Caenorhabditis elegans: one gene and its partners. The protein of the gene in region 1 purifies or fractionates together with the protein of each later gene. This does not show direct contact. Each region holds a gene or a part of one and is shown in the gene's direction. Other genes may lie near its edges. The genes, in order: eat-3, R04E5.9 and let-19.

What was found.
Region 2: the proteins of eat-3 (region 1) and R04E5.9 fractionate together in Caenorhabditis elegans (co-fractionation; one large-scale study listed by BioGRID). This does not show direct contact.
Region 3: the proteins of eat-3 (region 1) and let-19 fractionate together in Caenorhabditis elegans (co-fractionation; one large-scale study listed by BioGRID). This does not show direct contact.

Annotation. Positions count from the first base shown.
Region 1 is NC_003280.10:9,320,090-9,331,549, forward strand, and holds eat-3 (Dynamin-like GTPase OPA1, mitochondrial), read left to right. Parts: upstream 1-4,784; 5' UTR 4,785-4,798; coding exon 4,799-4,959; intron 4,960-5,575; coding exon 5,576-5,717; intron 5,718-5,852; coding exon 5,853-6,093; intron 6,094-6,470; coding exon 6,471-6,706; intron 6,707-6,753; coding exon 6,754-7,286; intron 7,287-7,335; coding exon 7,336-8,128; intron 8,129-8,172; coding exon 8,173-8,625; intron 8,626-8,678; coding exon 8,679-8,946; intron 8,947-9,129; coding exon 9,130-9,197; 3' UTR 9,198-9,576; downstream 9,577-11,460. Other genes in the region: wdfy-2 (WD repeat and FYVE domain-containing protein 2), read left to right, coding at 1-125, 181-527, 699-816, 937-1,296, 1,343-1,499; Ras-related protein rab-39, read right to left, coding at 1,979-2,122, 2,172-2,285, 2,336-2,525, 2,579-2,820; egli-1 (Transmembrane protein 41 homolog), read left to right, coding at 3,871-4,611; wbp-2 (GRAM domain-containing protein), read left to right, coding at 9,685-9,801, 9,898-10,276, 10,777-10,988.
Region 2 is NC_003284.9:8,803,860-8,814,523, reverse strand, and holds R04E5.9 (uncharacterized protein), read left to right. Parts: upstream 1-3,381; 5' UTR 3,382-3,530; coding exon 3,531-3,535; intron 3,536-3,591; coding exon 3,592-3,687; intron 3,688-3,735; coding exon 3,736-3,951; intron 3,952-7,353; coding exon 7,354-7,431; intron 7,432-7,483; coding exon 7,484-7,603; intron 7,604-7,651; coding exon 7,652-7,655; 3' UTR 7,656-7,866; downstream 7,867-10,664. Other genes in the region: Metal transporter cnnm-2, read right to left, coding at 48-135, 481-602, 655-746, 795-900, 1,448-1,574, 1,621-1,736, 1,780-1,852, 2,147-2,217 and 1 more; R04E5.8 (JmjC domain-containing protein), read left to right, coding at 8,419-9,066, 9,169-9,222, 9,271-9,332, 9,379-9,527, 9,706-10,664.
Region 3 is NC_003280.10:8,766,694-8,775,753, forward strand, and holds the start of let-19 (Mediator of RNA polymerase II transcription subunit 13), read left to right. Parts: upstream 1-4,281; 5' UTR 4,282-4,383; coding exon 4,384-4,398; intron 4,399-4,517; coding exon 4,518-4,730; intron 4,731-4,777; coding exon 4,778-4,937; intron 4,938-4,985; coding exon 4,986-5,280; intron 5,281-5,330; coding exon 5,331-6,037; intron 6,038-6,201; coding exon 6,202-6,468; intron 6,469-6,512; coding exon 6,513-6,707; intron 6,708-6,911; coding exon 6,912-7,113; intron 7,114-7,159; coding exon 7,160-7,330; intron 7,331-7,387; coding exon 7,388-7,781; intron 7,782-8,172; coding exon 8,173-8,352; intron 8,353-8,397; coding exon 8,398-8,958; intron 8,959-9,038; coding exon 9,039-9,060. Other genes in the region: nsph-1.1 (Nematode Specific Peptide family), read left to right, coding at 507-536, 604-762, 946-1,011, 1,141-1,410, 1,453-1,622, 1,796-1,930, 1,980-2,085, 2,134-2,224 and 1 more.

The DNA of each region.
Region 1 (11,460 bases):
ACTGCAAGTGATGATAGATCCGTTCGCCTGTACTTAAAAAGAGATAATGATCAATTTTGGCCGTCAATTCATCATTTCATGCCAGTTGCTCCAACAAGTCTTTATTACAGTGAAGAAACTTATAAGTTAGTTTAAAGTTTAAATCGTTTTATTTTTTAAATTTTTAATTTTTTTATTCAGGCTGCTCGTCGGACTTATCAATGGAAATGTCTATGAATTCAGTGTTGCCGATGACTTTAACAGTATGACAGAATCCCGAAAATGGACATGTCACGCTGGACCAATCTCTGGACTCGGCTTTGCACTCTCCTCCGAGCTCATTTTCAGCTGTTCTCGAGATAAATCTATCGTCTGGCATTGTTCAGAAAATTCAAATAAGATGGGAAGTTATCTTTTGGAAAATAGTTGTACAGCAATGGTCATTGATCTTCCATTTGTATTCGTTGGAGATCATGGTGGGCATGTCACTGTTCTTCGTATTGTCGATAATCAACCAAATCTTGTCAGCAAGCTTAGTGCACATACGAGTGAGTTTTTATCGTATTCTTTTTTTTTGAGTAAAATATTAATTCGAAATTTTAAATGCTATCGTGCCTAGGAAAAATATTTGTTAAGTATAACATTCCAGTATTTCCTGAAATTCCCCACAATCAATACAATTAGTAATTGTGGTTTGAATTAGTTCAATGATTTTTCAGATGCAATCACCTCGCTCACATGGGACGGAAATAAGAAAGTTTTGTATTCTGGAAGCAGTGATCATCTCATCATAATGTGGGATATCGGAGGAGGAAGAGGAGAAGCTTATGAGCTTAAGTGAGTGTATATTTCTGGAATTTACGTGATATTTCGAAAGTGTTGATGTTTTTCGAGCGCAAAAGTTGAATTATATTTAGTTGAAATAGATTTTTCCAAATTAAAAAATGTTTTTTTCAGCGGACACAATGGAAAAGTGACAACACTATGCGCAGCTCCAGCAGCCAAACGTCTGTTCTCGGCTGACGAACACGGAAAGCTCATGTGCTGGGACATGAATTGCAAGAGAGTTGAGACTCCTGAATGGAAAACTTCGGATTGCTGTCAGAAATGCAATCAACCGTTCTTCTGGAATCTTCAAGCAATGTGGCAGAGGAAAGTGGTCGGATTGAGACAACATCACTGCAGAACCTGTGGATCAGCAGTCTGTGGATCTTGCTGTGACAACTGGACCACCTATCCACCAATGGGATATGAGACGAAAATTCGCATTTGTAATGACTGCAATGCACGAATGAAAGATAATCCACAGAATTTCAAGTAAGTTGTAAAGCAAATGACTGATGAAACTTATTTTCAATTTTAGCCTTACTCCACTTGCAATTCCACATGAAATCCATACTGGAATCACTGCTATGCATCTCCAGGAAACTCTCGGACTTCTAGTTACCAGTGGACAGAATCGTGTGATTATGATTTGGGATGTTCGAAGTGTTTGCTCTGCCCCTTCTGGATCACAATAAACAATTGCTTCTACTTCTCGAATTTCTCATAATTCTTTGTATTTCATCTAATTTATTTCCTCTCCTTTCTATTTTGTATATTCACTCTCAAAATGCCCATCCTTCCCCAAGACCAATTGTTGTCAAATCAAGACCTTCTAAAACTTACCAATATTTCCCGATACCCCTGACAGGTTGTCCTGAATAGTGATTGTGATTCTTACTTTTCTTCTAATCCCGATAATTTCCTAGTTTTTCGACTGTAAAATTGTATTTTTACAACAAAGTTTGAAAAAAAATCTTTTTTTTTGAAGTTTTTGGACAGAACGACTAGAAATTATTTCAAAAGAATGCATGCCGGGAGAGTAGGTGAGGTTGGTGACACTGGATGAAGGAGAAAGCTCACAGGAAGTACACAAAATAGCTGAGTTTTTGATGTTTATAAGAACGCTACGCGAAATTATGACTACGGGGAAAATTAAAAAATTGAGGAGAAATTATCAACATCCGCAAGCTCCTGCGCTGCTGTTTTGAGGGAAACTTCTTTCGGATAGGCACACGGATTGTGACCTCATAATACCAGTTTTAAGGCCTTCCCAGCCATCCACGGGCCGCAGTTCTCCGTCGTCGACTCGATTTTGAATCTAAAAATTTGAAAATTACATCATAAAATTGAAACATTTTCAAAAAAACCTCTTGTGCAATCATATGAAAAGCTTCATTAACATTGTCTCCTGTTCTCGACGACGTCTCGATAAACTTCATTTTATGGTACTTGGCAAAGTACTCGCCTTCCTCATAGTTTACCTGAAAGCTTTTAACCAATTTTTTAAACACAACTTTTGTTCAAAAATTACCTGTCGCTGTGAATCCATATCACTTTTTGTTCCGACTAATTGGAAGACACACTTCGATGGGCTTGGACCACCCAAATTTAATGCTGCTTCTTTAACCCAATTTTCAACATGCTCAAAACTTTCTCGATTCGTTGTGTCGTAGATTGCAAGGACTCCAACAGAATTCCGATAGTAGGATTTTGTAATTGATCTAAAAATATTTTTTTTAATCAGCTAATATTCTTTTTAAAAAAATCCACATACCTGAATTTTTCCTGTCCTGCTGTATCCCATAGTTGCAATTTAACACGATATCCAGGCCTCAACTCAATCATCCTTGCATAAAAGTCTACTCCGACAGTTGGGTCGCTGATTTCGGCCATTTTTCCTTCTGTGAAGTACCGTAAAAGACTAGATTTGCCAACTGTTGAATCCCCAATAACGATAAGACGATATTGGTAGTGAAAGAGCGGTCCATAGTCGTCACCAATGAAGTTTGTTTCCATTTTGTCTAAAAAATGATATATTGTTGAGCGTTTCCAATAGAGAATGATGCAATTATTATAAGAAAATAAATTTAAAGTTATCCGAGCAACAATTATCAATAAATATTACTTTTTTAAATGAAAACCTTTTTAATTTCAGCAGAAATCTTAGAAATCAGATGATCAATAAATAAAAACGGCTGACTTTTTAAAGGCGCATAGAATTTTCTTGGTGGCGGGTCCCGCACCGAAGAGCCGTTTTCTAAATAATATACACTAATGATTATTTTTATTAAATTTTTTCACGGTTTTCGAGAGTATTCTTTATATAAATTCAATTTTAAAGCATTCTCGTCGAGTTTGAATCCGAAATTATCGATTTTCGTTTTTCTCTGCTTTCTCTACCGCTGTTTTCTCTCCTCCGCTGTCTTCGCAAGATTATAGAGCTCTTTTGAATCAATTTGTTTCATGTTTCCGCTTTTGACGTTATTTTAAACATATACTGATATAAATAAATTAAGAATAGAGTAGAAAATCTAGTTCAAGTAAAGATGCAACATTTCTTTCTGCAAAATTTCTCGAAAACACCTGTTTTCCAAAACTTTTCAATTACACAATTAGAATTTCGGAAAAGTTAACATATATAAGAACATATTATATATATATATATATATATATATATATAGATTAACTCTCACAGTTAAAGAAATCTGAATAGTAATATTGCGAAATAGTTTTGCATAAGTTTGTTTGATTAAATTAAATGTGAAGCACTAACGCTATTGAATCCAGGAAAAACTCGAATTATTTGTTTGATTTTTATTAAACACACTTTGTGAACAATTTTCGGTTAAGAGGCTTTGTTGTAGTAAAAATCCTAAATCTACGATTATCTTCTTAAAATTTGACATACTTCTTACGTATGTTACAGGATAAATCGAGTTTTGATGTATTTCGTAAATAGTTTTTAATCATGTTATCTTTTTATTTCCCATCTCTATGTTTTAATGTTGTCTTTACACTAATTCACCCGTAATGTCCGTGCACAAAAGAATTTAACATTCAGATATTATGGAAACAAAATCATCCCAAACTTCACATCCGTGGCTTGTTCTACTCATTTTCGCCACTTTTGCGGTCTCAATTTTTGCTGTATACAGCAATTTTCCTGAAGTCTCGGCAGATGAGAAGGTTCATTTGAAATATCCCAGGAATCTGGAAGACGCTAAGCAGCTGGGCAGAGTTCTCTCGAAGTACAAGGAGAACAACTATTCAGTAGTTCTGTGCGGTGTAATTGTCGTCTACGTATTTCTACAGTCCTTCGCTATCCCTGGATCTATTTTTCTAACAATTCTATCAGGATACCTGTTTCCATTCTATGTGGCAATTGTGTTGGTGTGCTCCTGCTCTGCAACTGGAGCCGCCATCTGCTACACCATTTCTAAACTTTTTGGACGATCATTTGTTTTGCAAAAGTTTCCCGAAAGAATCGCAAAATGGCAGGATGATCTGAGCAAGCATCGTGATGACTTTCTGAACTATATGATTTTCCTTCGAGTAACTCCAATTGTTCCAAATTGGCTAATCAACATTGCCAGTCCTGTTCTAGATGTTCCACTGGCTCCATTCTTCTGGGGAACATTTCTAGGCGTTGCTCCACCAAGTTTCCTGTATATTCAAGCTGGCTCAACACTGGAACAATTGAGCCATACCAGTGTAGCATGGAGTTGGAGTTCTATCGTTTTACTTACGGGTTCGGCGATTTTGTCGCTGGCTCCTATTTTGCTCAAGAAGAAGCTCAAATCGGATTAATTTTCTCTCTTATTTCCTCTTTCGATCTCATTTTTTTTCCATTGCTTTCTGTGCAAAACTTGTGATATTTAGAGAATATAGCCGATAACTCATTTCTATACTATTTTTATTTATTTTTCGCCTCCTTTTTTGTCATAATAATCATATTTTCTTCACTAATAAACAATTTTTAGGTGATGAAACAATGATGCGGATCGCCACAAGACGCCGATTCATATCGAACAATTTGCACAAGTTTTCCCGGATATCCGCCTCCACTTCTGCAACTTTAGCCGCATATTCAAATGGAAATCAACATCAGAACAGGCAATTCGGCACAAATGCACTTTTCAGCAAAAAAGGAGGATTGTGAGTCTCTCTCCTTTTCTCTCTATTCCTCTCTCTCTCTCTGTCCGCTCTTTGATGAGTAATAAGACACCAAAAACCACGAAGATAGCGCAAAGGGGGAATGTGTTTTGTAATACTGCTGTCTCTTCTCTTTTTTTTGCATCTTTGGTTGATGACGTTTATCAATATGAAAACACCACATTTTGAAGCGAACAAAAAAACGACATTTTGTCTTTTACCACTCATTTTGAACTTTTGAAAAATTGTTTAAGATTTTTTAACGAAAAATTTTCGGATATTTCACATTTTTGGCAATATTGTTTCCTAAATATTACCTATCCTGAAGATGAGGTTATATAATCTTCCAAGATCTTCCAAGAATATTTCTATTCGTTGATGTTCAAATTTCATTTTTGACGGGAAAAAACCGAAGAAGAAAACAAAATTCCGAACTTTGAACCTCTGGAACAGAAATAAAAAAATGGGAAATTTTTTGGAGAATTAGAGAAATAGACATCAAAGACCATGTGCTCACTCGGAATTTTATTATTCTCAATCCCATTGGAATATACTTTTACTCAATCCTTGTCTAAGCACTCTTCACCTTGTTTATACGGCTTATCACTGACATTTTCAGACTCCAAAAACGGCAAACAGTGATCAATTTACAAAGCGAAAGGGCGTTTATTGGTATCGCTGCCAGTGCAGCTCGACATCTGCTCAAACTTCGATATTTTATCGCAACTGGGGTTATTGGTGGAAGTGTCGCGGCTAGAACGGTCAGTCTCTTATCTAAAATGTTCAAAAATCTTAAATTAAAAGGTTTACTCGACTGATATGATTTTTGTGAGCAGTAGATCAAAAAACATTCGCCAAAAAAGATAATTTTACATGAATAATCAAATATTTTGTAGTGGTATGAAGAATGGAAATCAAATTTGCCCGATTTATCCCTCCCGGAATGGTTCGATTCAAATGGGTCTTGGAACGAGTTTTCGCAAAAAATGAAAGGGATTAAAGATGGATTTGGTGCAGATGGACAAAATAAATGGGCAGAATGGATGGCCAAGTTTGAGCAATTTAAACAACAGAAAGAGGATCAAAATGGAAATTCAGGAGGCGGCGGAGGAGGAGAAGGAAATGTTCCAGTAAAAGGTAAATACATTGTTTCTCCAAAAATAAAAACGGTTTTCCTCACAATTTCGTCATTGATATACGATATCATCCGAAAATAATCATTTTATGATGTAAATTGACGATTTCTTACTCAAAATAAACCTGATACTCGTCAGAATGCGTTTCTAAAAGTGAAAATAAAGACGACACACTCTTTAAGCGGATTTTCATGATCTTTGGAAATATAATCCAGACTTTTCACTTTATACGTCGGTTATTGGATGGAAATTTCCTTGCTTGTCCATTCCTAGATTTTAGTTTCTCATTTATATTTAAACGATAATCTTTAAAGCCTAGTGCTTTAGCTTAATCTGTGAGTTACAGGTTTTATAAAAATCAAATTTCTATTTTTTCAGAGCCCGTCATTCTCGCCTCATTGATGTCCGCATTCTCTTCCAAAAAAGATGAACCCGAGGAGAAAAAAGACAATGTTTCTGCCGAAGAGCGGATACAGAAGCTTCAAGAGGAAATGCTCAAGACTCAGAGTCAATATCAACGAGAACTGGAACGCCTCGAAAAAGAGAACAAAGTTCTGAAACAGAGATTATTGTTATCGGATGATAAGGCAGCAATTAGGTTGAAACGGCTTAAGGTATATAATTTCTAGGCTGTTTCAAAGTTATATAATATTTATTTCAGAGATCCTTAATCGACATGTACAGCGAAGTTTTGGACTTGCTCAACGAATACGATTCGTCATACAACACCTCGGACAATTTGCCGCGTGTTGTAGTAGTTGGTGATCAAAGTGCAGGAAAAACGTCAGTTTTAGAAATGGTGGCACAAGCCAGAATCTTTCCCAGAGGATCTGGAGAAATGATGACAAGAGCTCCAGTGAAGGTAACACTCTCCGAAGGTCCATACCATGTTGCACAATTCCGTGATTCCTCACGCGAATTCGATCTTACCAAAGAGACGGATCTCCAGCAATTACGTAATGAAACTGAAGTGAGAATGAGGAATTCAGTAAGAGATGGGAAAACGGTGTCGAATGAAGTTATTTCATTAACTGTGAAAGGTCCGAATCTCCCAAGAATGGTTCTGGTAGATCTTCCAGGAGTTATCTCAACTGTGACTGCTGATATGGCAAGGGAAACTAAAGATGACATCATTCGAATGAGTAAAGCACACATGGAAAACCCAAATGCAATCATTTTATGCATTCAGGATGGGTGAGTATTCATCTTTTTTCTGAAAATCATTGAAGTTTTCAAATTTTAGATCGGTTGACGCGGAAAGAAGCAACGTAACTGACCTGGTCAGTAGCATTGATCCATCAGGAAAACGCACGATTCTAGTTCTTACAAAAGTCGATATGGCTGAGAAGAACTTGGCCAATCCTGATAGAATCAAGAAAATCCTTGAAGGAAAGCTATTTCCAATGAAGGCTCTTGGCTATTTCGGAGTTGTGACTGGAAGAGGAAACAGTTCGGATTCGATCGATGAAATTAGAAAGTATGAGGAGAATTTCTTCTCAACAAGCCAGTTACTACGGGATGGTGTTCTGAAACCATCGCAGATGACAACTCGAAACATGTCATTGGCAGTTTCAGATTGTTTTTGGAGAATGGTTCGGGATTCTATTGAAAGTCAAACTGATGCGTTTAGAGCAGCCAAATTTAATTTAGAAGCTGAATGGAAGAATCACTTTTTGAGAATACGACAACTAAATCGTGACGAGTTATATGACAAAGCAAGAGGAGAAATTCTGGATGAAATTGTGAATTTATCGTTAATCGGAGTTGAAGAATGGGAGAAACTACTTCAAGACAAACTATGGTCAGGAATATCTTCACATGTTTTTGATCAGATATTGATGCCTGCGTATGCTTCTTCAAGTTCCGGATCTTTCAACACAACAGTTGATATCAAGTTGAAACACTTTGCTGATAAGCAACTGGCTCAAAAGAGCATCGAAACCGGATGGGATACTTTGAAAGAAGTTTTCTTTAGACAAATTAATCAAGATGCCAGAACGAAAAAAGATCATGATCCAGTGTTTGATGCTTTAAAGGTAGTTTTTTTTGAATGATTAAAATTTAAATAATTTAATTCCAGGAAGCAGTAATCGAAGAAGCTATGCTGACGCACGGATGGGATGACAAAGCGATGGATTATCTCCGAGTAATTCAATTGAATGCAATGGAGGATCGTGCTGTTCAGGATAAACGATCATGGGATGCTGCATGCAATTTCCTTCACAAGGCTGCATCAGAACGTCTTGCAGCAGTGAAGAAGCAGCTTACTGACGACAGAGGACCGGGTTGGGCATCGAAATGGCTAATGTGGAAGACCCCAACTGCTGATAATCATTATTCATGTGTCATTCAGGACGAGCTTTACTCAATTTTAGGAGCAGATCCAGAGCACAAACAGGCGTTGACTGATGATGATATTACTGTAATCAGAAGAAATATTGAGACGAAAGGCGTACTTGAAGTTCCCACTGAATCGATTAGAAAACAATGGAAATTAGTATTTAAGAAGCACTTTTTGGAGAGGATAATTAATGTAAGTGTGACTGAAACATTTGAAATTAAATTTTTATAAAATATTTTCTGCAGAGCAGCAAGGACTGTCTATCGATGTATCAGATGTATCGTCAAGGAATGATTGAAGGACAAGATATCGATTGCCAAACCATCGTACTTTTCTACAGAATCCAAAAGATGGTCAACTTGACGTGTAACGCACTGCGGCAACAAATCACAAATACTGAACACAGAAGGCTGGAAAAAGAGATTAAGGAGGTGTTGGATGATTGGTCACAAGAGCCAGATATTAAAAAGAAATATTTGACGGGAAGACGTGTCGATCTTGCAGAAGAAATTCGTATGTTTTTTTCTGATCTTCAAATTTTTATTAATGAAAACCTGGATTTCTCATGCAAAGTTATACTTTTAAAATTCTTTAAATTCCAAATGTAATGTAAATTTTTATAATTGAGATTCCATTTTCAATTTCAAAATGTTGCGAAGTTTCATTCAAAACAAAATTATACATTCTCCATTTCAGAACAAGTTCGCCGAATCCAAGAGAAACTCGAAGAGTTCATGGCTCAATTACAACGTGAAAAAATCTGAAATCTCCTCGATGTTTGATCAGCTAAAACGATTTTCTTAGATTCTAGGTGTGTGCAATTGTTTGTTTGTTTGTTTGTTTCTAGTTCTATTATCACATAGACTCGAAAATAGGTTCTCTAAAACATGTAATTTTGTCACTTGTTTTTGTAAGTTTTCATCACGGCTTTTTGGTGCTTTTTTGCCATTTTATTTTATTTTTCCATCCTTTCATTGACACGAAAATGTATAGCTAGTCTTTTGCCTGCCCTCAATTTTTGATAGGTTATCTCAACTTTGAACCGGTTTTTTTGTTGTAAATATGATCTAGGTCTCTAATTATTGTGCTTTTTCCCCAATTTTATAATTTTTTAAAATTTAAACGAAGATTTTTCCCTAAACTAACATTTTCATTTGTTTTTTTTTCGTATTATGCTTCGGTTTTTCGATAGAAAATCCGCTTCTGGGTACCTTTTTTTATCCTGCTACCACTTGTTTAATTTATATTTAGATGTCCATCAACACGGCGAACACGCCGGACGGACTTGGTGTCCTACTGTATAATGGAGAAACCATCGTGATTTTTGCACAAGGAGTAGTAATGACACTAGGAACCAGTGAAAATGAGGTAATTTATTGCAGTATTTTTTTCATATCTTTTAAACACCAAAAATCTTCATTAGCACAAATGCTGAAAATTATAATCATATTTTCGAATTTATAGAATTTGGAAGGACGTCGAACGGGAACCATCTACCTCACATCACACAGAATCATTTTCATGCCAGACCCTGGAGATTGGCTGAAATCATTTGAAATTCCATTCAACAGTATGCAAGATGTTAACTTAAACCAGCCGATTTTCGGAGCCAACTACCTATGTGGAATCGCCTCGGCTGTTCAAGGAGGACAAATGCGCGGAGAGGTTAAATGGAGAATGACATTCAACAGAGGGGGATGTATTGAATTCGGGCAATCTCTATTGCAAGCAGTCGAAAGAGCTGTTCGAATGAGACCAGAGAATGCTCCACCTGCATATTCTCCACCAATTGGAGATTTCTACTCTGCACCGCCAGCTTATTATCAGCCGTCGCCGGATCAAGGTAAGATTTTTTGAACATTAAAAATAATCCTGAATTCGAAATTAAAATTACCTAAAAAATGTTAAGCGTAATCATTAGAGATTTGTATGAATTTGAACATTTTTCACTTTTTTGAAAAACGAAAAAAAAAGGAATCCAAGTTTGAAACATTTTTTAAAATTTTTTAAAGATTAATTTTTAAAAAAACGAGTTTTTTCTTTTTTTTTTCGATCACTTTTTGTTTAAGAGAGATTTTTTGCTAAAAATACCAAAAATCTTCAGTTCTGGTCAGACAGTTTTGCAAAAATGAAAACGTGCTCTAATGCAACTTTCTTCCACCTCGTTGCATTTTTGTTTCACAATTTTGTTGATTTTTGAATTGATTTTACCATCTTTCTTTGGATTTAATGGTTTTCTTATCAAATTCGTTAGAAAAATAATATTAAACCGCATTTAACTTTTTTTTTATTTTAAAATTATTCCCCGGTTAATCCGATTAATAATAGATTTCACATTTTCAGGACCAAATGGTTTCAATCCAACCACCGATTCGTTCCCAGATCAGCCGAACCCATCACGAGTTTTCATGAGCTCAGCACCACCACCATATCCAGGAATCGGACCAGAACGCGGCCCACATCCAACTGAAGAACTTCATGTTGCTGGACAATTTGAAGCACCACCAGCTTATGGTTCAGGAGAAACAGCCGATGGATTGAGGCGAAGAAATTAACTTGTAAATTTAACAACAAAAAATGACATTAGAGAAAGTGTTTAGTTCAAAATTATGGGGAAACACGTAGAAAACAAAGCCAATTTACCCATAATTTTTTTCCGCATCGAAAAATGATTCCAAATAAGCTCAGAAGTCTAGTTGCACACAAAAACTATCTAAAATTCCACCATTTATTTTTTGTTTTTTTTTTTAATTTTTGCACGTCTCTCTAAAAATCTCATGTGAATATAAGTAAAAGTTGTGATAAAACTATAAACTTTCGGTAGACTAAGTCTATGCCCTCTCTCTCTTGATGCCCCCTCTCGTTCCCAGGATAAAGTATATATGTATAAGTGGAATTATATCTCTTTCTCTGATTCACAGAACATTTATTTTATTTTCTCTTTTTTTTCGTTGAAAAACACAATTTTTCTTTTAATTGTAAATAAATAAATAATTTAAAATATTTATTAAGAACTTTATATTTTTT
Region 2 (10,664 bases), on another chromosome or scaffold:
AAAAACTTGGTTTATTGTTTCTGGTTTCTTGTTTCTGGAATTTTTACTTTTCCAAGTGGCCACGTTATTGGGAATAAGAGAAACATGAAGAACTTGGTGATGAAAATTGTGTTAGCACCCACTGCCAATCCATACCTAAAATTTTGCAAATTTTCCATCAAACGGGACAGTAAGGGTTCTTGGATTTTAGATTTGAGATTTTTTTAGCACAATTTTCAAATTGGTAGGTAACTGAATTAGGAAAACTAGTAATTTTCTATCTGCTGGGAATGTACAAAACTTAACAAATCTTTGCGAGGCGACCAAAATCTGCAGAATAGAATGAAAATTAGTTTCCCGCAGGTAAGTTGATTAAAATCGATATAGGGATAAGTTTGAAAACCTTTTCCCGGTACATTGAACAACTTTAAATGTTTTTTTATAAATTATACTATTAAAATCAGTGGAATCATGTTTAAAAAGATGTTGGATTAATCTAACTTCACACATATGCTCTGCGGTAGAATTTCTCCAAAAACAACAATGCCAACTGTGGAAGCTACAAAAGCTATCAGACCTTCTGCCAAATCATCGAAAAGAAGTGTAATTCCAGTGTTGACAATCTTAAATTTTGAATAAAAAAAATAAGTTGACGTTAAATCTAACAAAACTCACAACATTCATAATAATAACAGTGCACAGTAACCGATTACCATGACATCTAATTGGGTAAATTGCTGCCGCATGCTTTTTCTCTCTTTGTGATCCTGCAAATTCACATAAAATTTGGTCTTTGATAAATAATAAAACAGTACCTGATTTCATCAAGATACTAAGTTCTTGCGGTGTCAAAGCCATTAGTCCCAATGTCAATCCGGAACACAGTGCTGATATGGAGAACAGTAGGCATAAAATTGCGCACTGAAATATTTTAGTTTAACGAAGGTAAGAGTTTTACAATTTTTTAATTCGAAAGCATTTGAAGGTGGACTACGGCTTATGGGGTGGCCAAAACATTTTCAAAAATATTGGTAAAAGTGATTTCTAATCAAAAAGCACTGAAAGCTCTGTTTTTATCAATTTTTTAGAAGTCGTCGGGTACTTGTGTATTATACCCCCGCCATTTTAAAAATTAATCAAATTTCCAATTAATTTATCCGTAAAAATTAAACGTGATGCCCATTTTCTTCGTAAACCTTAGGAATGGTGTTTTCCTAAGCATAAAAATACAAAAGAATTTCACAGGTTTTTAATTTATAAGTTAAAAAATTATTTTTTTAATGGCGGGGGTATAATACACAAGTACCAGTCGTCGGGAAAAAAATAATTTGCTTTGTTTTTTATTTAAATTGTGTTCAATATATTTATATACCAACATTGTAGACGTTAAAACATTTGCAACACTGATCTATAATTGAAATTTGGCATTTTAAGGAAAAATGCTAATAACCATCTCATGGTTGTTTACCTGAGCCCAAACAGGCATGAAAGTTTCATGAGTACTCTGGACAGCTTGAATCCAGGTTCTATCGTCATCGATTTGTATTAGTCCATGACACTCTGATTTTAGACAAATTCTCCATGGCTGGGGCCACCTGTAATTTACAACTAGCATTAACGAGTTCAAAATAATTGCCTTACGCTACGAAAGCATATTTAAAGACTATTTTCATATCTTTATGAATGTAGAAGGTGCTTTCTGATACATTAAACTCGGATGTCACGCAGACAGAATCAGTAAATGTCACCATTTCAACCTGAAATCAGAATGTGGAAAAGTTGGTATAGGCTGATAAATACATTTTCTAGTCCATGACCAAAAATCACAAGATCCACTTCAGTGTTTGCCTCCACCAATAACTCTCCAGCATCGCTGAAATTTTGTTACATTTTGTCGTACACCCTCGTCTGGTATTTTTTATCCCATTGTATTTAGTGCATTATCTAATTTTCTCTAATGAAGCTTTATTCTAAAGTAATGTAAACACCCAGATGAAATGCCATTATGACAATATACAAGCTTCACGTTTATGTCAAAACATGCAATTGAATTTAATTGAACAATGTAGTCCTTTCAATCAATAAAAAAGATGGCATTCCGTATGAAATACTTGTAATTACTTTAGTGCAAGTTGTACTGTGTATTAGAAGGTTCCTCATTTCTTACCCATATCCTAAAAATCCTGACGCGTCTACATCGCTTTCAATCCGAACTCCTGATACCACTGGCCGTATTTCCTGAATTTCCATCAATGTTTTTTTGTTTTCCTTTACGAAATTTCTCACCAGTTTTCCGTCTATGCATACAATGTGTGCACAGAGCAAAAGTAAACGTAGAAAAACTTTAATGATCATCAAATTAGACGTGGTATAGTGTGGTGGCGATAATGAATAAACGAGTGGTGAAAATGAAGAAAGTGCGTATCAGTAGGGGGCACTGATAACAATCTAGGTGGTTCATGTCTATGTGACATGAATGCTTGTTTTGGGGCTCTTTCAGTTTATGGGTGTCTAGAATCAAAATTTGCATGTGACAGGCTAAAGACAGGTTTCGAAGTGTTTTATCAATTTTGCATCCAGTCAGAAATTTTTGTTTAAAATATGATTCGTTTTTTCTCCAGTAATGCTTTTTGCCGGTTCATAGGAGATATCTTTTGTTTTGGGATAGGAAAGTAACTTTTTGGTTTCTCCTTTTTTTTAAAGCATAATCTATGAGTATTGGTGTTTTTTTATTTTAGTTGAACGTTCATTAATGATGTGACTACTTATTCAAAGCAAATCCAATAACTTCCACTGAAATAAAATTTCGGGATATTAAAAAAAATACAGCCTTATATTTTTTTGTAATTTTGTCACAACATTTCATGTTCATTTGGCATGACGAACAGCGAATAACTTTCATTTTTTAGACTATTTCGATCTTCCAGTTCTATCATCATTTTTGATATCCCTTATTTTCTTGATGACATTTTTGGGCAGTAGACGTGTCTACGCTGAAGGTTTGTTGTCCTATGAACGCGGGAATTGCAATTTTTTTCTTTTACGCTGAAAAAGTAATTTAAATAATGCTCTAGAAGTTTTCTCATCAATATTCGTTTGTCATGTTCGTTTAAGGAAGAAAAATTTAATGAAAAGTGCCCAGAATACATCTTCTCGGGACAAAAAATGCCAGTCCCCTACTTCATCCCGATCATTATTGTTTTCGTATCAAAAATTCATCAACCCTCACGTCAACATCTTGCTTTCATCGCCAGCTCGCCATTCTCAATTTTTCCTTTTTCTGTCCGCCTTATCTCACGTGCGCGCGCGTCCCGTCGTCCTCTCTGTTTTTTTGTAAATGTGAGTGTGTGGCAGAAAGCGAGGGTTTATAGGGCATTGGCGAGAGAGTGTGTGAAAAAGAGAGTGTGTCTTCGTTGTGTCTGAACACGCGACGCGCAGGGAGAGGGACGCAACGCGGTCGCTTCCAACTATTTTCTGTGTTCCTGCGGTGCGTGTGTGTATGTGCGTACCCTGCATCGATTTTTGGCTCGAGTAGTGGAGACGCCGAGAGTATGAAGTAGGTTTTTCCTCTAATGTTTAAATTTTCAAATTAACATTTCTTATTTCTTTCAGAGAGTTCATCAAAAAAGAAGAACCGATTTTCGAGGAGGAAGATGCGCATGTGCTGGGCGACGATGAACCAGATGGAGATCTGCCAGAACTTCCAAAGTAAGAACACCAGGAAAGTTAGCTCTTTTTTTACTTTTTTTTATTCAGAATTGCTGCTCGGCAGAGAAAATCAAAGATCGTGAGAAAACAAGGCAGGAAAACGAAAAGGAAGACTCGAAAGTCAAAGACAGGAGCAACAAAGCGAAGGAAAGGAACTAAACGACGACGGAAAACCACATCAAAATCGTTAGACAAAGGGGAAAGTATTGGAAGAGTCAAGCGATACGGGCGAGAAAAGGAACAAAAGCTTCATATTCGCCAAAAGTAAGTTTTTGAGAATTTATAAAGTAGTTTCTCAAAAAAAAAATCAGTAATGCTAGAGATAATAGAAATGTGACATTAAAAACTTGAATTATTGAACTCCAAAGCCAAATGCGTCGCATGCTCCCGAAATCATATCGGAATCAATTTTTCACTGGTTTTCTTCCAATCGCATATGAGCAGTGTCGTCCAACGTTAGGGTACGGTGATCAGATATCAGCTTTTCGAAGGGCAGTAACACGCTTGTAGTTCGGTCATTTCCTACTCGAAAAATTGTTGAGGGCTAATACATAAAGACATTATGTTCAAGCTTGCTGCACTGTGGTTCTGGTAGTCAGTCGCATTTTTCTGGCGATGCTCATACCGTGCAAGGCATTGCACTATTTGAACAGTGACGCAATCTAGTTGAAACTTGAATTTACCGACACTTCGACTTCTGAATCGGTCGTCATTCTACTATCACCCAATGTCCTGCTTCTAAAAAACTATGCTTGTTTAACAGAAGTTAATTTTATCTTCTGGTAAACGAGAAGCAGAAACCTTTCCATAACTACTGGAAATGTATCGAAGAAAACAGTTTTCCGAAAAATTATATGTGGAGGGGCTCGTACTGTTTATCGAAAGTTAATTCCAATTCAAAAGAAAAACGTTTAGCTTAGCAATGCAGCAAAGATACAACTTCCTGCACAATTTAACTTTTTGTCAAAAAGAAAACTGAAATCCTACGAAACATACATATATTCTGCAATTGACTTCAATTATATTCTTCATCGAAGTTTCACTCAAAAATTACTACATCGTGACGGCTGATTTCACGAGAAAAAGGAAAGCAGCACGAATCTATTTTCGATTGCTGTCACATGTATTTTTTGTTTTCAAATTTTTACAATCACTCAAAATACAGAAAATAAAATTACTACAGAAATTTTTATGTCTACATAATCATGTTAATCTGTAAGCATTTAAAATTCTGCTGTCAGAAGAAGCGCCACAAGAGTTTAAATATAGCTTAAAATTACGCAGTATTTTTTAATTTTGAATATGACTAATAAAATCATAGCTTAGCGTTCACATATTCTGATCGCCTACTAATTTTTCTATTTCTGTGATTCGGAGTATGATGACTTTCTGTGAACAATGTTGCATTTTTCATAACTCTCGAACTTATAGGTTTTCTGCAGATACATCCTTTTCAACATTAAAAGGTGGCCTGGAAAAATATATTTAACTGACGAATAGAAAACTTCTTTGAGGTTTATTGAGAAAAAAAAGCTCAAAGAAGGAATAACGGTTCAAGATATCTGTTTCAATATTTTAGTTTGTAGTATTACTTTGAGCTTGTTGAGAAAAAACCCAGAAATTTTCTCTCTCTTTTATTCTCTCTCTTTTTGAGCTTATTTAAATTAATTGTTAATATTTGCGGACTGTTAATAGCCAAACGATGATAAAAAATTGTTTACACCTATACGCAGTTTCAGTTTATAGCGGGCGATTGTTTTTCGCAGCACAACTCCAGTCCCTGTCTCATTACAAATTCATGAAGATAGTAGAGTTGGAACACAACCATTTATTTAACATTCGTAGGCAATCGCCTGAAATGAAATGACGTGAGCTTTAGCGCACAGAAAATTGGGAGCACGCAAATGATGAATGGTATCCATCAATCTCAAACACCGATATTTCGTGACGTTTTTCTTTTCGTGAGCCTATAATTCAATGTGACGTGGCAAGCGCTCTGAAATTATATATTACATCACTTCCGGGTTTAGGAAAATTCGAGGTCTGAATATCAGATCCTGAATTTTGAAAAAAAAAACGTAAATTTTTAAAAGTTGTTACTTGATGAATGTTGCACAAGAATTCTTCTTTAATTCTCATATAGAATTTATTAGAATAACAGAAAACCTTGCTGATAAATGCAATGTTTGGAATAAGCCAAAACATTAGCTGTCCTTCCCTGGTCTGAATGTCAAGCTCAATCTGATTGATAAAGTTCCAATTCAATTAACTAAACAACTTTTTTCAAAAAAATGTTATGATCAGATCGTATTCACAAAGTGCATCAGAAAACAGGGAATACGGGGTTCCTTGGCCTTCATTCCGAGATGACAAACTTTTTGGTGGCAAAGGTTCTTTGGGGGCAAAGTATCCAAGGAGACAAAGGATCCAGTAGACAAACTGGGGTGTGTCTTGGGGGGCATATCTTTGGTGACAACCTTTTTTTCAACTAGATTTTTATATGTATTTTTCAACTAATTTTTGTTCAAATTTTTCTGGAATAAGTTTTTTAATGCAATTTTCAATCGATTATCGGTTATAATTCCCTCACAATTGAATGTATGAACGATGGTCTTTTGGGAAAAGCTGTAAAACGTCCAACTAACTTGGAATATCGTGAGGCTCTTCCTGATGGCCTGATCCTTCAGATAAGAAGGATCGTAAGGGTACCTCCTGATGGTCTGATACTTCAGCTCCAAAGGATCACGAGGCTCTTCCTGATGTTCTGATCCTTCCGATCCGAAGGATCACATGGGTACCTTCTGATGATCTGATCCTTCAGATAAGAAGGATCGTAAGGGTACCTCCTGATGGTCTGATCCTTCAGATCCAAAGGATCATGAGGCTCTTCCTGATGTTCTGATCCTTCAGCTCCAAAAGAACATGAGGCTCTGCCTGATGTTCTGATCCTTCAGCTTCGACGGATCATATGGATTTTTGACAAAATTTGAAAAAAAATTTGAAAAAATTGACCATCAGGAGGTACCCTTACGATCCTTCTTATCTGAAGGATCAGAACATCAGAAGGTACCCATGTGATCCTTCGGAGCTGAAGGATCAGACCATCAGGAAGAGCCTCACGATATTCCAAGTTAGTTGGACGTTTTACAGCTTTTCCCAAAAGACCATCGTTCAAACATTCAATTGTGAGGGAATTATAACCGATAATCGATTGAAAATTGCATTAAAAAACTTATTCCAGAAAAATTTGAACAAAAATTAGTTGAAAAATACATATAAAAATCTAGTTGAAAAAAAGGTTGTCACCAAAGATATGCCCCCCAAGATACACCCCAGTTTGTCTACTGGATCCTTTGTCTCCTTGGATACTTTGCCCCCAAAGAACCTTTGCCACCAAAAAGTTTGTCATCTCGGAATGAAGGCCGGGTTCCTTTCTTTGATGGAAAAAGAAATTCACGAATTTTCGGCTTTTACGTCTTACCGTTTTTGAGAGCTATGTATCGTCAGTCTTCTCTTATCTACACAATTTTAATCATTAAAGCACAATTACAATACTTGCTACAGAAAAATAATTGTCGAGGGAAGCACCGATTTTTTTGTGAATCTTTATTCTAAAAGCCAAAATCATGCTTACCCCAAACATGTCATAACATTTAATTATTTCAGCGATGATGTCATTGTGGTCGATGAGGTCCCAAGTGCAGATAAAGTTCCCACTCCACCTCCTGCGCCTGCAAAGCCTACGTGAGATGCCAAATTTTTATCATGCTAAATTATAACAATAATCCCCTTTCAGGCCGTCGAACATTCTTGATCAAATCCTTTTCGCTCAGGAAAAAGTTCTTGCTCCAACTGATACCGCAAGAAAGTCGTTCACCAAAAACAAAATCCTTCCAAACGAACGACGCAGTGTTTGGTTTGCTTCTTAAGCCTTCTATTTTTAGAATGTTCCCTCGATTTTCAGGTAACTTCGAGATGATGTGAGGCGTGAAACACGACTGGTCCGCCCTCTACGCATAGTCTTTTTCATTGCACACACACACACACACACACACAAACAAAAACAGCATATATACCCTGTGCCCACGCTCATTTCCTTGAATGCACACCACGTCTTCGACGCCGTGCTGCGCCAACACGAGGCCCTGTGCCGTCGATGTTGCCGCCGTCGCCCCCCCCCCCCCCTCCTCTAATGCGACCGACTCGCGCCCATCTTGTTTTTCTTCTACTCATTTTCTCTACTCGATCGCCGCTCACACGCACACTCTTTTATTTTCCTGTCTGCGCCTCCCCTCTCTGTTCGCTCCTTTTCAGACTGCCGGTTTTGGTGAGCTGGTGAGTGCGGCGGGGCCAACGTGATCCGTGTGTAAGATGAATAGAGAGATGAGAAGGGCTCGTCGTCGCTGCACGCGGCGTGACTCGGTCAGAACTCTCGTTCTTCTCCCTTTTCACGGATCAATGGCCACGATGCGTGCGCTCACAGTGGGTATCTCATGGCAACGCATTGCTTTGCTCCGCCTTTTTTATCGACAGCAAAATTTGTCTTTCTCTCCCGTCAACTCTTCTCATCTCTTACTGATACCTACGTGTATACTTCATTGTTCCAAATACTGAATGTATTTCTTGCTCAATTTTCGAGTGTACCATTTATACTCCTTTTTTAATTTTCTCAAACTCTCTGAATGCTTTAAAATATGTACATATCATAAATAAAGTTCATTTCAGGTGAAAATGCACGGACACGACAGACCGGGCTCATCGTCCGGTGGATATTTCAACCCGCCAAGAAACAATCAATATCATTATCCAGAGAATCATCATCATCCCTACCCCGAAAACATAGCTAACTTGGTACCGCCATCAAACTTCCAGGCCATGCATTATAATCACAACTACATGGCTCATGCGGCTTCCATTGCTCACACGTACGGGGGTTATCCGCCTCCATATCCATATCAACATCCTCACCAGCCGCCGCCTGCACATCCACATCATCTTCAGCATCCACACCCCTATGCATATCCTGGATACCCTGTTCCTGGTCAGGAAGGCCACCAAGTGCCGGCACCACAACACGGTGATCATGAAGCAAGTCCACCGCCTCCTCCACCACCCAGGAAATCAAGAGCTGGGGGATCGTCGCCGCCACCCCCACCGCCACCAAGAGTTCCGCGGACACCCCCGCCAAGAAGCCCTCCACCACGGAGACCACCGATGACTCCACCATCACCGCAACGCAGACCACCGAGAACTCCTCCGTCTCCGGAGCCACGGAATCCGCCGAGGACTCCTCCGTCGCCTATTCCACCACCACCACCACGTCTAAACAGTCACGATCGGAGAGCATTGAGAGCACGTCGTCCAATGGTTCATCGTCCGGTAGGTTCTCTTTTTGATATCATTGAGTTTTCGTAACTGAAATTTGAGAACATTATATAAACAATTTTTCCAGTTTACTGGTTTAACAAAATATTTTTTCAGGCTCCTTACGGTCGCCGCTCCATAAGTCAGGGACCTGGAAGAAATAACGACGACGTAAGTTAAACGGTTATGAATTCTAGTTACAAACTTACAATTTTTCAGTGGGGAAGTCGCGAGTACGGAAAATATGCCGAGCGTCTTGCAAGCACAGAGCTGAAAAAGCTGTAGGTTTTACAATGAAGGAGTAGAAAGGATATATGGATTTTGCAGGCATCTCGAACGAGAAGATTACAAGCAAGTTTTGCGAGTAGTTGCAAATGCAGCAAAAACCTTCCGATTTGATGATTTTGAAGTTCGGTCTCATCTGCTATCCGGATACCGTTTCTACATGAATGGAGAAGATGCAAACGGCACAAAGCGTGAGTTAATAACTTGATGTTCCTTTGACTAGGCTGCAATTTTCTCTGACTAATTGAGCAGCAAAATTGTTTATTTTGTTAAGTATGATACCCAGAATAGTTTTATTTAAAAAAAGACTCATCTTCTATGTATCAAAACTTCTATCTTTATATCATTTTATGAAATTATTTATTTCAGAGTTCTCCATCCCACATAATATGGATCGGCCACCAGCCCCTCGTTACTGGATCATTGATAATGAAGTTCGAAGCAATCCACCATCGCCAGTTTTCCGTCCAGAAGCTTCGTTAAGTCCATCGGTCAATGTTGACTACGGAGAGGGGTCATCGAACCAAGCTGCACAAATGTTTGAGCCGGGAGAAGACCAAACTGCGTTCTATCGAAGACTTTTGGCTGGGTTCGCTGCACAAGGACGGACATTTGGACAGCGAGAAGGAGAGATTCCAGCCATATACGGAGCCGACGGTCTTTTGACAGAATGGGGATACGAGCTGCATCTCTTAAACCAAGCTCGACAATTAGAATCGAAGCCTCCATTGGTTCATTATGAGGAGGTTGGATTTGATCGTAAAGACGACGACGAAACGTATGAGCCCTATCAGGGCGGCCAAGCTCAGCCAGACGGATCTCCAAGTGAGTACAGCCCAAATCATGTTCGCCGTGGACCAAAAACTCCACCAGAGAGAGAAGAATCTGTGGAGTTTTCTCCGGGCCATATTCCAGTCGGCCCAAAAACACCACCAATGCCCGATGAGAGTCTCGAAGACGATAAGAGATCACCAATAATGGATGGTAATCAATTCGAGGAGATGGAACTGTATCCAATGGACCCAGAACAAGAGGTTTCGATGAATTTTGTTCCTGTGAAGCCTCAAGCTGTGGTCCCTGAACAAGTTGCATCTGAGGAAAATGAAGCTAATCCAATGGAAGTAGATTCGGGAGATTTGATGAAACTGGCTGTGGACTCTATTGATCAAAATGCAGCAGTTGTTTCAAATGGCTCATCAACGCCATTTTCAGTTTCTACACATGCCGACCAAATCGTTCCGAAAATAGAAAATAAACGGCCGGCCGTGCAAGACTTAATAGGAGAGGTGTTGGAAAAAAAGAAGGCAAAATCATCTGCTTATGAAAAG
Region 3 (9,060 bases), 550 kb from region 1:
CCCTCTTTTTGAAAAATTAAAGTATGGCCGAAAAAAAGTATTTTTAAAATATTCAAAATTAGCAAATTGATTTTTTTTTTCAGATAATTTGGCAAACATCAGTTTCTTATTACAAATGCAAATGTTTGACGTTGGACTAGTATAAATAAAGAGCTCGATGTACAAAAATTATATCATAATATTGAGAAAAATGGATCAAACATACCTTTCTAATTTCATCAATATTCATCCTTATATAGCTGGACTCAACAGACCAATAATATAACTGATGGAATGTACGAAAAAGGAAAAGGAAGGAGGTACTGCCGGGATAATCATCAGTTTACGTTATCATCTTATATCTTGAATGCACCGAGTCGCGTGGAAGATATCCAATCTGACCTTCCATTTTTATCTATATTTTAAATAAATTTAAATAAACTTGTTCAGCAGAAAACTCGTTATTACGTGAACCAGATAGAAAAAAATGGTCGGAACAGTGAAATCAAATCAGTTTTAAATTTTTAATGGATAGGAAAGGGTTCACAATGGAAAAGGTGAGTGGCTTTCAGTTATTTGATGGCTATTGCACGCATTCAAACATTCTGCAAGTGATTTATTCAGGGAAACATAGACGATATTTGGACATTACAAAAAGTTGGCACACCTTTTCCACCAAATGTTGCAAAAGCTCCTGGTGAGACAAATAAGTACGTCGCATTATGGTATAAACACGGAAAACCAGTGATGGGCAGAGCTTGGAACGATTCTGGAGTGGTGAAGGTAAACTGGAAAAATAACTATTCAGAAATTAAAAATAGACTTCCAATTATTTGAACTTGCAAGTATGCAAGTTCGCCTGCATAAAAGGTAACTTACAAGCGGTATTAAAATATTAAAATACAAAAAAATATGGAGAGCCACCACGAAGTTTTGATTCCTTGGCCAATCAATCCAATTTTACAGGGAATTTTACCAACGGTAGATATGTGCTCTGGAAAGCTGGATCGATTTGCCAAGTTTCAACTCATCGTTTGTTGCATATTTGCTATTGATATGTTAGGCTCACTTGATATTTTAGGGAAAATTTTCCTTTAAAAAATAAACTAGGAAATTCTAAGACTATATAATAAAAAATATCCATTTAATCCAACTTTTCAGTGCATGTTTGTTCTCGATGATAAGATATATAGTGGAGCAGATGTCGGAGGAAGCATTCAATTACTTATTCTCGATCATATTGAAAAATCAAAATCATTTCATTATGATTGGGTAAACTTCAAAAAAGCACAAAGTTTGACAATTGAAGGAAAATATGAAATGGTTCGATGTGAATACAGTGCATCAATGTATTGGCCGGAGCATGGACTATTAGGATGCGTGAACACAGAGAAGCTTGTCGCACATTTTGTTGATAACGAAATGCAAATTGTTGGTTTTTTATTTAAACGCTTATTTCATCTATTAGTTCAGAAAACCACCAAAAAGTTGGAACATCTTTTGGTTCTGTGTAAGATTGCTGGATCAAGAGACGCGACTGAAAAAGAAAAGGAAAAGGGTTCCACTGGAAGTGCTTCAAAGTTATTGACAGTCGTCAACGATTGGGAGGATTTCAATTGGGGAAGTGCGTGGCCATCCAATAAGTGAGTAGCTTTATATTTGCCTATTTATTAACATTTTCTAGGTTTTTAATTTTATATTTTGTACAAAAGGTTTTCTTTCTCTGAGCATTTCTGTGAAATTCTTTTTCATCTTAGTAGCTACAGAATTTTGCATCAATTTGCTGATGTTTACATTCAAGAGTATCCAATTTCAGAAATGTAATGTCTATACCAAAAAACATCCCATCGGCAGGCATTGATCAATTTGTTGCGTTATGGTATCGGCATGGGAAACCAATTATGGGAAGGGCATGGCAAAGCAATGGAAGAATTGAAGCATCTTTTGTAGAGTAAGATTATTTTGATTTGTTCGAATGCGTGCATGTTTAATTATTTCAGCGCTAAACGAGAATTCACGGGAGCAACAGTCGGCTCACTCCAACTTTTGATCAGTTTGCCACCTACTACAGTTGGTTATGATTATGTATGGATGACCTACACACAAGTACAGTAATTAATTAATCAGATTGTTCTCCTAACTTTCTAATTTCAGGCAATTGACTACCGTGACAAAGACTACGTTCCAGTTCATCTCAGCTACATTTGTCCTGCCATTGTTCCAGTCGATGGAAAATTTTTTCTAGGTAAACTATAAAAGCACTGCGGAAATTTTTGTTTTTCTATTACAGTAATCTAGAATTACGTTGGTTAAAAGTAAAAATCTTTTGCTATCATAAGCCATGTAAGATGCTTTGACCAAAAAAATGTATGTATATGATAAAGTGAACATATGTTTAACTGAAGTAAGCTTGAAAGTGATTACTTTCGAATAGTTGTGTGTTTTTTCACTTTCTGTTGTTGAGCACCTACTGTTTTTTCTGCCAATGAGCATATGTCTTGTAGGACAGGTGAACATGAAGACCGAGTGTGCTACAGTGGCCCTGAACGGTTCGGTGACCCAATTGGATGGAGGACCCGTCAAATCGATCATGGTTCTTTGCAGAAAAGAAATGGCTGAGACGATGCTCATCTGATCGAGAATGAACAAAAGGTTTCTTCAATCCCATCTGTTTCACAATGTATCTCTCAATCTTGATTTTCGTTTGTCAAATGTTTCAAGGATAATTCAATAAAAAGAGTGAAACTTATTTTTATTTGTTTTGAAGTCATTGTTTTGTGATGCTGGTCTTTTTTGTTTCTTATAAACTTTTTGTTAATTTAGTTTTTCTCAATTTTTCATTTATTTCTTGAAAAGGTGTGCAGAGGGGATTGATCGAGTGACGACCGCGCCGCCGCCTCCTCCGAATGCGGCGGGGCAATGGTGGGGTGAGAGACATGATGAAGGGAGTGGGAAAAGAAGGAAACGCAGTAAGGAAAAGACATACACACACGGGGGCCACTTTCCGTCGTCTCTTCGTCCTTTTTCTTCTCTGTCTGGGTGTTCAAGAGATTGAGACCAATGACTCTATTTGATGAGCATAGTTTTACTGTTTTTTCGAATAATTTATTTTCAACTAAAAAATTATCTTTAATTTTTTTAAATTTAAATATTTGATTTAATGAACTTATTGGTGAATTTTGTAACAACTTCTTTATTTCGTTTCGTGATATAGTTAATTTTTTTCAAACATAAAATTTGAAATTTATATTTATTAGCACCTAGAAAGACACTTATTATTTCTTTTAAATTCAAAGTTTTTCGGATTGTTTTTTTTTCAAAAAAAAGAGAAAAAAGTGTAGGTAATCTGTCAAATGTGAGGCGCGAGTGTATCTTTCGTTTACGTATTTGAGAGATAACGTTGTCCTCATGGCTTGCCTCTTCTCTGTGTTATCTGTCTTTCGTTGATCGGTTTTCAGTCTTTTTCGTAATTTTTAAAAGTTTATTGATTGTCACTGAAGTTTTTCTGGGGAAAACATAAAACGTTTCTTTAATACCCCTCTTCCAAAAAATGCGCGTCAAGTGTGTTGCACAGTACGCAATCCTATTCAAAGATTACATGGGACAGTTTATTTTCATTTAGGGAACATATAATACCTGCATACCTACAATGATATCTTATTTTATTAAATGTAGTTTCAATTAGAATTTTTTAAAGCTAAATCTTTTATACTAATAAGTTGATTAAACGTTTTCACTTATGTAAGTTTATGTAAGTTAATTGGTACTTTTCCAAATGAATTGAGATGCTCTTTTCTTTTTTTTTCTGATCTATATTGTAAACTAAGTTTGATAATATGGACATCTTGTTTACAAAAGTTTTTGTGAAATGTCTTGAAATTGTTATCAATTCTGTAAAAAACGAAGTCCTTGCAATTTTTCAAAAGTTTTAGGTGTAACTATACTGAGTGACTTGCCGATTGACAGTATCAAATTTCAACTCCAAAGTTTAACTTCTTTTTTTCAAATTTTTTTTACACAAAAGAATAATCGTTAATAATGTTATTAAACATTTCAAAACCAACTTGAATATTTCCAAATGTGGACCTAGGTTTCTAACCACTACATTAATATTGATTGGTTTTGGCAATTGCATTGTAGACAACAAAACACAATTGTTTTTATGATTCCTATGTATTTCGGCCATTCTTGTTTCATTTTGTTAACTCGAATTGAGATAAAACCGTTTAATTTGTTACCGCCTGTCTATTATCGCCTGTCGTCTCCGTTCAAAATCGCTCGACAAATTAGTTCCGATTGCAGAAACATTGTGCTAAAGTGTCGTCGCAACAGAATCAACAATTGTACAGGGACGCTTCCAAGATACTGGCTGGAAGTGGACCAGCCCGTGACTCCACAGAGGACATGTCCTCCGCCAAGGTGCGCTGTTTTTTTTTGAAATATAATTCTCCAAATACATTTTTGGTATTTGCCAAAAATTTTTATGATTTGAAAGTTTAACTAAAAGTAAAAACTAATCCACCTTCTAAATTTTGTAGGATAGCGACAAGGATGCCTCACGCAAAATGAAGCTCCAGAAGCGTCCAGAGTGGAACAACGGTGGCAGCTTAGAAGACTGTATCTCAAATGTTTATGCACTACTTGAATTGCCAGGCATTAAATGGAAATGTTACCGCACAAAACCAAATGCTCCACGTGGTGTTGCACTGACTGCTGATTTTGTACTCAAAGCATACAGTAAATGTTTATTGGTAAGAACTTTATGAAAGCCATAAATTTAATTAAATCCAAATTTTAGGACGGAATTCTTTGCACATGGAGACGTAAACCATTACCCCCAACTGATAACAAAGAAACTCCAAAACTGACGAATTTTTCAAATGATGCTCCAAAAGAGCTCTGGGTATTTTGGTATGATGATGAGCCAGCATTGCTTCAGAAAAATTGTGAAGGATTGGGTAATTATTGTTTTTTCTATTAATTCATTCAACTTGTTTATTTTTCAGATAACGACGATGAATTATCATCAGCAAATCAAATGAATATTGTGAGCTACGAAGTACGCACAATTATCTTCAAAGCTTTGCACGTTGTTTTGGAAAGAGATCTTACAAAAGACGGATTCGTTCGATTTGGAAGATGGTTTACAGTTCCATATGATGCACGAGAAAATTATCTACATTTTACGTATCCATCACATTCTCCAGCAATTCGATTCAACTTTTTTGTTCATGGATCCAGCACGATATGTGCTTCTGTTCAAGCACAAAGGCAACCAACTTTGATAACTTTGGCTAGACGGTAATTTAGTTTTTAACATAGTTATTGAATAATTAAAATTTAATTTTCAGACATTTGGAGTGCAAAACAAAACGTGTTGTGGTTGTAGTAGGTCCATGGTCCATGCGCGGTCAACTTGTTCAAGACCAAATAGCTCTTCTTGCCGACCCAAAAATTCAAGAATCAGCAGAAAAAGAATGGAATCAATGGAAAGATTATTTGCAAATGGAAGAAAAAGAACCAGAAAATGTGTCAGAAGAAAGGCAAAAATCTCCAGATTCGGATCCACCAGCTCCACCACAAACAACTCGAGTGTTACTTGCAGATTCATCTGATGAAGAGCAATCACAGAGTTTTGAGGCAATTGATGAGTCAAAAAAAGACGATATTCCACAGAGATTACGATGGATGTACGAGCCTGATTACCGTCAAGAAAAATCAAAAGAAGAGACACCAGAAGAAAAAGAAAAAAGAGAACAATCAAGAGAAGTGAGGAAACAAAGAAGGAAATTAAGAGAAGAACGACGAAAAGAGGTTGAAAGGCAACGTACAGAAGTTAAAAATCCTGATGATTATGATTCGGATGTAGTGACAGATGAAGATGTTGGAGAGAAGGAAGAATGTGTGAATAATGATGTGCCGAAAATGGTTCTTCTTGATATTGACGGTGTTCGATTATTATACCCATCGAAATTCCTTTGTGTCACAATTGATGAGGATCGGCAAATGCTTGAGTCAATTGGTCTGAAGACAAATCAACAACCACCTGAATTACAAGGTAAGTAAACCACGATTTTTTAAAATTTTGAAAACATTACGAATTGCCAAGAAAATGTTGATTATTGAAAATTTCAATAAATGATAGGTTTTTCAACTATTAGTTGTATGCACTTCCAAATAATTTATTTTTAATTTTCCTAGTTCAACTGCAATTTATTCCAGCCCAAAATCGTCGCCCACGTAACAAACTTGTTGTCAACGTTGCGAATCCAATTCTATCTACAATGGCAGTCTACCAATACTGTGAAAATGAACGGTTAATTTCAAAAGAAAATGTTCCACAAAAAAGTGCCACTAGTGGGCAGCTCTTGCCCCCACTAAAAGAAAAATTCTTAAATTGGAAGTTTACTGCAAAAAAGTATGGATGCAGAGGAGATGTATCATGTCGACATTGTGCTGAAGCTGAATACCAAGGAGAATCCGATGGACGTATGTTTTTTTTTAAGAATCTCAAAGTTTTTATATTTTTTCAGAAGTTATACTAGACGTTGATCGTCACAATAGATTTCTAAAATATGGTCCATATACGGAAAATTCGATTAGATGGCACAAAATTCGGAGTCGAATTCAAAAGAAATTTGATTTTCATGCCTATCACAAGAAGCATCCAATTGGGCCAATTACACCTAGAAAGGCTGGAGACAGTGTGAAACAGACAAAACAACTGAGTGAGTTTTTTAAACAAATGATTTCACAAAATTACACTTAACACTGATTTGGCCATCCTAACTTTTTGAGAGCTTTCTGTTTTTTTACTTTTTTTTTTTGAAAACATAAACTTTAAGTAATCCTAAGCCATTGCAACTTTTTAATGGTTCAAAATTTTGAAGCACTGCTATTTTATATTTACTTATATTCTTTTGTTTTTCTAGGTGCGGTCAAACGAAGAAGGAGAGCTCGTCGAGAAAGAGCACAAAAGAAGAGGCGTGACAAAAAACGTCCAACTGGATCAACTCGAGCTGATAGCGAAGATGATTCATTTCGAATGGACAAACTTTCTCAGGATGATTGGGCTAATTTTGAGGGAGAGCACCCAAAGGGAATCCCTGAAATTGAAGTTGATAAGGATTTTGAGTAAGTTTCCAGAAGTTTATTTTTTTCAATTACATATTTTGTTCAGACTTCATAATGACATCAAAATTCCCAAAGTTCCAAATGATGACAACTACAAGCCAAAATCGTTTTTGCCAATTACATATCTCACCAACAATGTAGATAATAATGACTTTGAGTCAATGCCTGGAGATGATGATATGTCTGAAGAGCGTTTCAATCAGATATTCAAAGACAAGTATGTTATATTAATTTCTAATACTTCTAGAATTCGACACAAATTTTACAATTTCAGATACAATCGATGGAAGCCTGGAATGTCGAGAGCAGAAAAAATCGAGCACGCTCATTATCAATTTGATCCATCAAATCAAATGACCGGTTCACCACGAGAATACCATTTGAAGGATTTGCCAAAGAAGATTCAAAAATATGAATCAATACTTCCTACACCAAAAGGAAATAAGTTTTTCAAAGGAAGCATTTGTCGAAAAGGATTAAGAGGTTATGATGAAATTTGTGCGGATCAAGATGAAAAAGAAATGATGAGAAAAGCAAAATGGTTGAAGAAAGCAAGAAGGAAAGTTAGCAAACAACAGATAAAGAAGGCGGGGCAGTATCATATTGATATGCAGAAACAAATAGTCAAACGTTCATTGAAAAGAGCCATCAGGAAATTAAAACTAACTGTGAGTGTTTTTTCTGAAAAATTTATTTTGTTTCCAATCATATTCAATTGAAAGGTAGAGTATCGTCATTGTGGGATATTTCCTGAAATTCATACATTTATAATAATTCAAAATAATACAAATAAATTCCTTAAAAGTTTTTGAGATAGTATTAGAAAATTTTCAGTTTTGGTAAATTGTTAAACTTTTTTGAAAAATTTGGGCTCTTCGAGATATTCGTTTCTCATGGTTGAAGAGCTAAAATGTTTCAAATCGAATATTCAAACAATATTTAGAATATATGATTCTTAGAAAAAACCTTTTTCGGTCGGTTTCGAAATTATAAGTGCCTGAGTAATCTCTTTTTGTTTGAAAATATAAAAAGTTCAAAAAAATAAATGCAAATTTTCAGACCAAAAAGGATTCACAATCGAAAGGAACAAAACAGCAGAAACTCGTTCTATTATCATATAAAAAGAAGAAAGTCGACGAGAAAAAGTTCCAACAATACCTGAAAGAAGTGGAAAATGTTTTAGACAAACTTGATGTAAACTCATTTTGTAAGAAAAATGAGAAAGCTGGATTTTCGGAGGTATGTGGCTATTTTTCAAAATTTTGTTTACTTTTGAATGCTCAGAAAGCAATACCAAGTGGATATATTATCCCTGACTATGAATCGTCAATTCACTGCGGGATGGAAGAAGAATCTGATTCTGAGATAGACGAGCCACGCCATGGACTTGGAGAAGGAACTTGTGGGCAATATCTGGAGGGAGAATCTGTGGATCTTGCTGACATGGAACATCATCATAACGAATTGCCTATGGAAGTGACCAGTATCGGACATATCAGAACAGTCGGCGAGCATATTGGTCCAGATGGAATGTTATCGCCACCTGCCAGCAACGAAATGCCAAAAGGAGGACCTCTATCGGTGGGTCCACCATCCATCGAGTCGCAAGGACTCAATCAGATCTACCCGACGCCGCCATCAGTTCAGATGCTCCTGGGAGATGCAGCTCAAGCACATTCTCCTGTTATGCATACAAAGTCACGTTACGCGATGAATACGTTGGAAGATGATGTTGAAAGAATCGCTGTGCCTGGTGGAGTCGGAAGTCTTGTGGAAATCGAGGCTGACGATATTGAAACAAAGAATATGCAAAAGTGGAGCAAACTTTCAAATCAATCAAAACTGGTCAGTTTTTTATGAGTACTACATAATTAAAAATCTCATATCAGTTTTATATAGCTTCAACAATACCACAACTTTTTCAGTCGAAGTTCATTGCATTGTCTT